Linked DNA regions of Ovis aries. The protein of the gene in region 1 purifies or fractionates together with the protein of each later gene. This does not show direct contact. Links are inferred from orthologs where the notes say so. Each region holds a gene or a part of one and is shown on either strand. Other genes may lie near its edges.

Region 1 (4,347 bases):
GGAAAAAAAAAAGGAAATCATATTTTCAGTAAAAGCAAAAGCAGGTATTGGTTGTGTGTGCTCAGTCTCGTTCAACTCTTTGAGACCCCATGGACCGTAGCCCGCCAGGTTCCTCTGTCCATGGAACTTTCCAGGCAGTAATACTGGAGTGGGCTGCCATCTACTCTTCCAGAGGATCTTCCAGACTCAGGGATGGAACCTGCACCTCCTGCATTGGCAGGCAGATTCTTTACCAACTGCACCACTTGCAAAGTCCTAACAAAATCAAAAGCAGGTGTAAAGGACTAGAAAATGGCAAAACAAAAGAAGTCAAGAGATGAGTGGAAGCCTGGGAAGATATATGACTATGGACCCATCACAGCACTTAGTCCAACATTGCCAGTGTCTGCCCAACTGGGTACCAAGTACAGACACCCTAATCTTTTTATACTCTTCACAGCCACTGTCTCTGCTCCCTCTACCATCTCCCTCCCAACCTGGCCAAAGCACCATGTTCACTTACACCCACGATTATAGTATTGTCATGTGTTCCGAAGTTTTTGTTTATTTTGTTTCAGTTGCTAAGTTATGTCCGACTCTTTGGACCCCATGGGCTCTAGCCCACCAGGCTTCTCTGTCCATGGGGTTTCCCAGGAAATACTGGAATGGGTAGTCATTTCCTTCTTCATGGGATCTTCCCAACACAGGGATCAAGCCCAAGTCTCCTGTATTGGCAGGTGGATTCTTTACCACTGACCTACCTGGGAAGCCAGGAAGACCTAATATACTCTTACCAAAGTCTAATTTAAAAGTTTCACAGTTCATTTCTTGAGGTTAATCAGGATCCTGAGGGCAAGGGACCTTCCTACTCTGAACACCCATCCCCGATTCCTGGAGATCCACCCCAGGACCTCCTGAGAAGCAAGCCTTTATCAACTCTGCACCTGAGGCCTCCCTCAGTGTCCTATTTTAGTCTGTGTGCTTAATCTTTCAGTCGTGTCCAACACTTGTGAGCCCAGAGACTGTAGCCTGCCAGGCTCCTCTGTCCATGGGATTCTCCAGGCAAGAATACCCGAGTGGGTTGCCATTTCCTTCTCCAGGGGATCCTCTCGACAAAGGAATCAAACCCCAGTCTCCCGCACTGCAGGCAGATTCTACCAAGTTACAAGGGAAGCCCCATGAATCAACTGAAACCAAATAAAAACTTTGCTATTTTAGCACCAGATTTTAAACAGCTGAATCTGGGGATTCTCTTTACTCTCTGCTTCTCTAGAGGTCCACCTAGGACCTTGTCCTGCAGTGTCTCTCCAGGACACTGACTATCAAAGTTTTCTCCTGATGTTCATTAGCAATCCTTTAGCTTATGCAACAACTGTGACTCCAATCATAGCAGAAGCGCTTCTCCTGCAGGAAGTGGAATCGGTCCCCCATTGGCTGTCCCCTAACCCTCTCCTCCTGCCACCTGAAGCCTTTCTTCCTGGTCTATGTCCTTGAGATCCAGGTATCAGGCTGCTAAATATCAGGTAAAGTCCAACTATAGCTAGTTAAAGGATGTTAACTCCTTGAATTATTATTTTAAACATTTCTATTATGATTAAAGCACCTCTTTTAGGTCTTTATCTGGGACCCAAAGTTATCTACTGCACTTGCTAATCAATATCCCACTGAAGTCCCCAGGTTCAAAAGTCAATGATTTCTCCTTGTCTGAAGAAAAACATCTGATTATAATAACTCTTTATAAATGTAAAAGAGGTGACAATAATAACCAATCCTTAAAGTTTTGTGCCCACTCTTCTTTATTGATGGAAAAGTTCCCTAGTTCAAAGAACATTCTAATTCCTGTCTAGACAGTGGTTTTTAAGGCTTTGGAGAGCCAGGGTGCCCACTAAAAATTTCTTAAAAGCGCTTAACTTGCTTTAGAAGAAAAAAACAAAAAACAAAAAACGGCCACATCAGTTTCAGGGACAGAGAGAATGATTAATGAGCTCCTGTTTTTGACTCTGGTAGGTACATTCGTATTCACAGCTATGCCAGCAGCTGGAAGTTACAACCTGAAGGTTGGCACCTATTCCCCTCCTCCAGAGCCATAGGCTGTAACCCACTCCATACTCCTGAAAAAAAGAAATCACACCCACTGCCAAAATCCTGCTGGGTTACCATGTGCCCCCGGAAAAGTATCTTGAATTCCCCAGGGATACGGATGTCGGGAGCACAAAGTAAAATAATATATGCCTAGTATGTGGTAACCAAGACACTATTACGGTGCCGTTACAATCCTGACTGTTCGCTGGTTTTAATTTCCTCATACATCTTTATTCGCATAGGCTCCGGCCCAGAACACCTGGAATGACTGTCCCTGTAACAGCCACATCTACTGAGAGCTTACCACGTGCCAAGCACTGCCCTAAATGTTTATCATAGCCCATCCTAAAAACTCCTATCGATACCCTAACTCCCAACCTATTAATGAAATAAGCGGCAGTTGTCTCGAATCCCACAGCGCGTGCTTGGCGGAGCTGCGACTCGGCCCTGGGCAGCGAATCCGGGTCCGGGCCCCCTCCGCCCACCCTCTGGCATCAAGGTCCGCGGGATCCCCTGGGCACCCAGCTCCCAAACTACGCCGGAGATGGCAGAGTACCCCGAGAGACGTCGCCGGAAAGCCACAGAGTCTACTCCAAAAACAAGGCCCGGACGGAAACTCAGAACCCCCGGAACTCCGTTGAAAAACAAAATGCCCGGAAAGCAGCTTCCAAAGCGGTGAGTGAGAGGCGGCGGGGCGGCTGCGCCTCGGCGTGGAGCCCAGGACGCCCGAGCGCCGGGAACGAAGAGCAGGAAACGAAAGAGGAAGAAGAGAAACAGAGAGAGCCAACGCCCGCCCGCCGCCTCCCCGTCTCCCGCCCGCCGCCCGCCGCCGGCCGCCCGGCCGCGCCTCAGCGGGGGACATGGCGCCGCCGCCGTGGGCCCGCCCGGAGGCCATGGCCCCGGCCCGCTCACCTCCCGGGGTGACGGGGCAGAGCCCTGCACCGAAGCGATGTATCGCTCCACGTCGGCCTTGCTGCGCCTCATCTTGCCGCCGACTGGGCTCTGGATAACGAACGCCAGCGCCGAGGCCGCAGCGGCCGCCGTCGTCTCGGGAGCGCGCCGCCCGAAGGTCCGTGACGCAGCGCCGTCGCCGGAGAGAGGGCGACGCGCCTGCGTGGGTGCGTGCATGCGTGAGAGCTGCGTCAATCCTGTGCGCCGCGCAGACCCGCGGACGCCGGCGCGCAGAGGTGAACGCGCTTGCGCAGCGCGGGAACGCGAAGCTCGTGGGGTGTGTGACGCGGTTGAAAGTGCTTAAAGATGACACCTGCCGGTAGCAGCTTCGTCCGGAAATATCTCTCCCTCAGGCTCTCGAGCCGGACGCGCTGTTCCCGGTGCTGACGTCACGCCGCGGCGCCAGTCGGCTATATCTAAGCGCTCTTTTGGAATTTGAATTTTTCGGACGTAGTTTTAAGACAAGTTGTAGAAAATGTTTTCAGTAGTGAAAAGATCACATCCTGTGTATACAGGGAGTTCAGGATTTATGGTTATGGATACTTTTTATCCTTTTAAAATAGTTTTATTCAACACTTAGAGCTAATCTGGCCTCTTACAGGCTATCCTTTTTGATTTTTCCATTTTTCCAAATTTTCTACAGTGAGCAATTATTTTCTTTATAAAGAGGGAAACCATCATGGTGTGTTTTGTTTCAGGTTTGTTGGATGTGAATAAGGGTGGCTGGTCTGGGAGGGTACTTGGTCCAGACCCCAGCTAATGTTAACTAATCTAAGGGATGGTGAGGAGCGAGTCCCTCTGCTGGTTTCCTTGGTAAATAATGAGTCAACAGGAGGTCTGCTGCAGCTGCTAAGTCGCTTCACTCCTTTCCGACTCTGTGCGACCCCATAGACAGCAGCTCACCAGGCTCCCCCGTCCCTGGGATTCTCCAGGCAAGAACACTGGAGTGGGTTGCCATTTCCTTATCAAATGCGTGAAAGTGAAGTCGCTCTGTCATGTCCGACTCTTAGCGACCCCATGGACTGTGGCCCACCAGGCTCCTCCATCCATGGGATTTTCCAGGCAAGAGTACTGGAGTGGGGTGCCATTGCCTTCTCTAACAGGAGGTCAAGTCCTCTCTAATTGGTAGTATCCCTTTCCCCAAGGGAGTGAGCCTGCCCCTATGTCCTGCTACACACCTGGGGATGTTGCTCCAAGACCTCGCTTCAGGTGGGTAAGTTCCCCTCGCTTCAGTTCAGTTCAGTCACTCAGTCATGTCCGACTCTTTGTGACCCCATGAATCGCCACACACCAGGCCTCCCTGTCCATCACCATCTACCGCAGTTCACTAAAACT
Region 2 (3,806 bases), on another chromosome or scaffold:
GCCGGTGAGGAGGGGGTCCCTGGGGAGGATGCACACTAAAGGCCTATGTGGGTCGAGTCCTGGCTACTATGATGATGCAGGGTGGGAGGGAAAGAGAAGCAAAGGTGCTCGCTTGGGGCTGTGACACCTGGATGAACAGGACATGATGGTGTGTCCACGCTGGCCGGGACCTGGGGCATGGACTTGGGCAGGCCAGCACCAGTTCTAGTTGCACTTGCTCATGCGGGCTTCTCCTGGAGCCACTGCAAGATCCTTTGCTCTTAGAGCCCAAAGCCCTTGCTGGGTCTGGGGATGGTAGGGCCTCTCCCCTCGGGTATTTTCAGTTCTGTGCCCAGGTCCTGGGCAGGTGGGCAGGGACTCCCAGCTAGGACACACGTGGGGATCAGTTGGCACAAGCTTCACTTGTACCAGGCTTGGGCTCTCACCTTCTCAGGCCTCTTTTGGTACAGGTGTCTTCCAGGTGAGTGAATCAGGATCAATCAAGGGAAGGGCACTGCCCTGAACCTTGGTTTCCATATCTGGAAGAGAACCTCAGACCCACCCTAGTGCTGGGGGCTTCCCTGCCGGGACCCAGGACAGGGGTCTGTTTGCTGATGGGGGCCACACTGGCAGAGACAATGGCTGGGACCTCCTATCCTTGCCCTGCCCCAGTTCTTCCAGCCACTCCCACCAACCTACCCCACCAGGGCTCCTCATTAGCTCCATCCCCAGATTTCTGTAACTTCACAGCCCTCATGTTGCACTTAGGTATCTTGCTTTTCCTGTGGGAAAAGTCCCCTCCCCACTTTCCCCTGCATGTCTGGCCACAGGATTACCTCCAGGCTCTCTCTCAAGAGAATCTCATCCTCTACAGGCATTTGGACAGGCCCACACGAACCATAAGAAGGTGGCTGCAGATGGCGAGAGCCGAGAGGAGAGTCTGATCCAGGAGTCAGCTTCCAAGGAGCAGTACTATGTACGCAAGGTGCTAGAGCTACAGACAGAGCTGAAGCAACTGCGCAACGTGCTTGCCAACACGCAGTCAGAGAATGAGCGTCTGGCCTCAGTGGCTCAGGAGCTGAAGGAGGTAACCAGTGAAACTGGGGCAGTTTGCTTGACTCTAGGTGGGTGGTGGGAAAACAAATAAGTGCTTCCTTTGGCGGGGGGAGGTGGGGGGGGGGGGGGGGGGGGTCAGGGCCACCCACAGATTGTTTTACCCCAACTTCATGTGGTCCATGGTGGTCCAGAAAGGTCTGGGAATGGCAGGATCCCATCTCTGCACTTGGGGTGATGTGAATCCTGGGTTCCTCATGTGAGCAGTGTAATTATAGTGTCTACCTGCCAGCTTGGGACACTAAAGTCAGAGAGAGGCCACCACAAACAGCTTTGAGGATCAGTTTGGCCCCTAACAGGGGCCTGGCCATCAGAGGCCTGGGCAGGTGGAGGGGGAGGGCAGCCAGTACCCTCTGAGAGAGGTGGGAGGCAGGGCCAGTGTTCCCAAGATGGGGTGGGGCGGCAGCAGGGGAGCAGGCATGGCCAGAGGTCTACCTGAGCTGTAGTCCTGGCCGTGGCTTTAGGGGACCTTATTGTCAGAATTTCCAAGTTCTCATCAGGAAGGGCATTGTTAGCCTCTGTTCTCCATAGGGGTGGGGAGGGGTTGACCAGAACAGCAGATGGTTCTGAGTGGTGGTCAGCTCTGAGGTCGATATCTCAGATGGGATGGTATATGGCAAGGGTTCCACAGGGGTGGGAGGGACACTGGCAAGGTTTGGGACAGAGCCCAGGAACTGGCAGCAGTGGGAAGTGGTCATCCATCCTGGTTTGGGATCAGAGATCACCAAGACTTGTGGGATGGGGAGGAACTTGGCTTGGATCCAGGAGAAGTGCATGATCTCAAATCTTCACACAGGAGCTCTCTGGTTACGGTGGGGAGAAGGGACTGTCAGAGCTGTAGATTTGACCCCCTAAGGGGGAGGCTAGCCTCACGGCCAGCTAAGAGCCCTTTTCCAAAAGAGTCGGTGCAGATGCTCCCCCAGCCCAGACTCCTTCTGCAGCGTCCCTCTTCCTCAGAGGAGTGGCAGGGGACCTGCTGACTGCTGGCTTTGGCGCCAGGAAATGAGCTAAGCCAGTCGCACATGCTGCTGTTGAAGAACAGGTCTGGTGGGGGCAGGTTTCCTGCCGTTCCTGTTAGTGCTTCTGGAGGAAGCCTTCGCCTCCCCACCCCGACACATCCTCAGTACATTTTCTCCTGAGGCCCTGCCTGTGTGCCCCTGATCATGGTCCGGCAGGCACTTGGAGCCATGCCGGGTTCTTGGTTGGAGTGGAGGCTCTCCGTCACCGCCTACTCGGACTGGAGCCCTGGTCAGTGTCCCCACCATTGCTGGCTCTGCTGCCATCCCTCTTCAGTTATTCTTCTGCTCGTCCTGGTCCTGCTGCTTCTGCCTGAGCTGCGGTGCGGAGCTCCTCCGTGGCTGTGCCCTGGAGGCCCGCTCCTCCAGGAGGCCTGCTCCTCCAGGAGGCCTGTGCTGAGGCTGAGCAGCCTGTCTGAGAGCCCAGCACTGAGCGGTGCCCCTGAGGAGCACCAGCCTGTGCCTGTCTTGGTGTGATCCGGGCAAGCAGGCTTTGCACAGTCTCCACAGGAAATGCCTCTTCCGCACGTGGGCCTTTCCCTGCTGGTGCCTGGTCCTGCTGCTGTCCAGTTCAGTGACTGATGGGCCAGCTGTGCTGTGCCCTCTGACCCACCCCCGTCCTTCCACCCTGTGATGTCTGGCTTAGGGGTTCATTCCATGCCCAGCTCTCCAAGAGGAACTTGAGGCCTCCGTCATGTGACACGTATGGCAAACATGCTCAGCATGTGGGACAGTTCCAGCTACCCTGTGACTTGTCTTTTGGGTGACCCTGTGGGCATCCAGTTATTTCCTTCATCTCACAGGTTGGGAGATCAAGGTGAGGAAGGTTTGACTGTATACCCAGGGTCACTGGGTCCTGACCTTGGCACTGTGTGTGAATGGGCCCTGCCAGCTTCTGCCCTGGGACATGCCCTGAGGGCCCGTTTTGCACATAGAGAAGCAGAGAGAGACCCAAGGATCAGACCCAGCTGACTGATGACAGAGTGGTCTTTTGCACATTCCTCAGATTTGCCTTGGGAAGGGGTTGAGAGGGGTGGTGAAGGCTGCCTTGAGAAGCAGAACTGTGAGTTGAGGGGGTGGGCGTCATCTGCCCGGGGGTGACCCCCTTAGGTAAAATTACCGTCCCAGTGGACCCTGGCCTTGCTCTCCTGGTGGACTCTGTGTGTATCAGGTCCTTCACAGGCCTAAGAGTGAGTGACAGAGATGTGCCAGGAGAAATCGTATCTGTTGTCATCTCCTCTGTCCTGGCTAGGAGCCAGAAATACTTGTTTCTTGCTATGGTGGCATCTGGGCCCCTAGGAACGGCTGAAAGGAAGCCAGGTTTTTGGACACAAGCTGAAGTGGTGGGTGCTAGATCAGGAGCAGCAGCCCCAGGCACCAGGGGGGCTCTCCATTGTAGTGTGGACAGGCCTGTTCAGAAGGACCCCTGCGCTCCAGATCCAGGGGATTGAGTGGAGAAGGTCACGTTGGCAGTCCAGAGTCAAGAGAAAGGGCCCTGGGTGTGTAGAGAAAGCAGCAAAGGTAAGGGGTAGACTCAGGGGTGAGCCTCACAGCTGAGGAGGAGCTGGAGGGGGCGCCCAGATGAGTCCCGAGGGAATGGACTCCACAAGGAAGTGGAAATTCCTCCCAGGGAGCAGAGCTGGATCCAGCTGGTTCAGGTGTGGCATCCAGCAGCCCCCTAGGAGGTCAGATTGGTGA

The links.
Region 2: the proteins of E3 SUMO-protein ligase RanBP2 (region 1) and BICD2 purify together in Homo sapiens (affinity purification with western blotting; 3 studies listed by BioGRID and IntAct, with this or other methods). This does not show direct contact. The link is inferred for Ovis aries from reciprocal best matches to the Homo sapiens genes RANBP2 and BICD2.

Annotation. Positions count from the first base shown.
Region 1 is NC_056056.1:62,035,986-62,040,332, reverse strand, and holds the start of E3 SUMO-protein ligase RanBP2, read right to left. Parts: upstream 2,937-4,347; 5' UTR 2,924-2,936; coding exon 2,618-2,923; intron 1-2,617. UniProt on the Homo sapiens protein: E3 SUMO-protein ligase which facilitates SUMO1 and SUMO2 conjugation by UBE2I. Involved in transport factor (Ran-GTP, karyopherin)-mediated protein import via the F-G repeat-containing domain which acts as a docking site for substrates.
Region 2 is NC_056055.1:28,622,685-28,626,490, forward strand, and holds part of BICD2 (protein bicaudal D homolog 2), read left to right. Parts: intron 1-853; coding exon 854-1,066; intron 1,067-3,806. UniProt on the Homo sapiens protein: Acts as an adapter protein linking the dynein motor complex to various cargos and converts dynein from a non-processive to a highly processive motor in the presence of dynactin.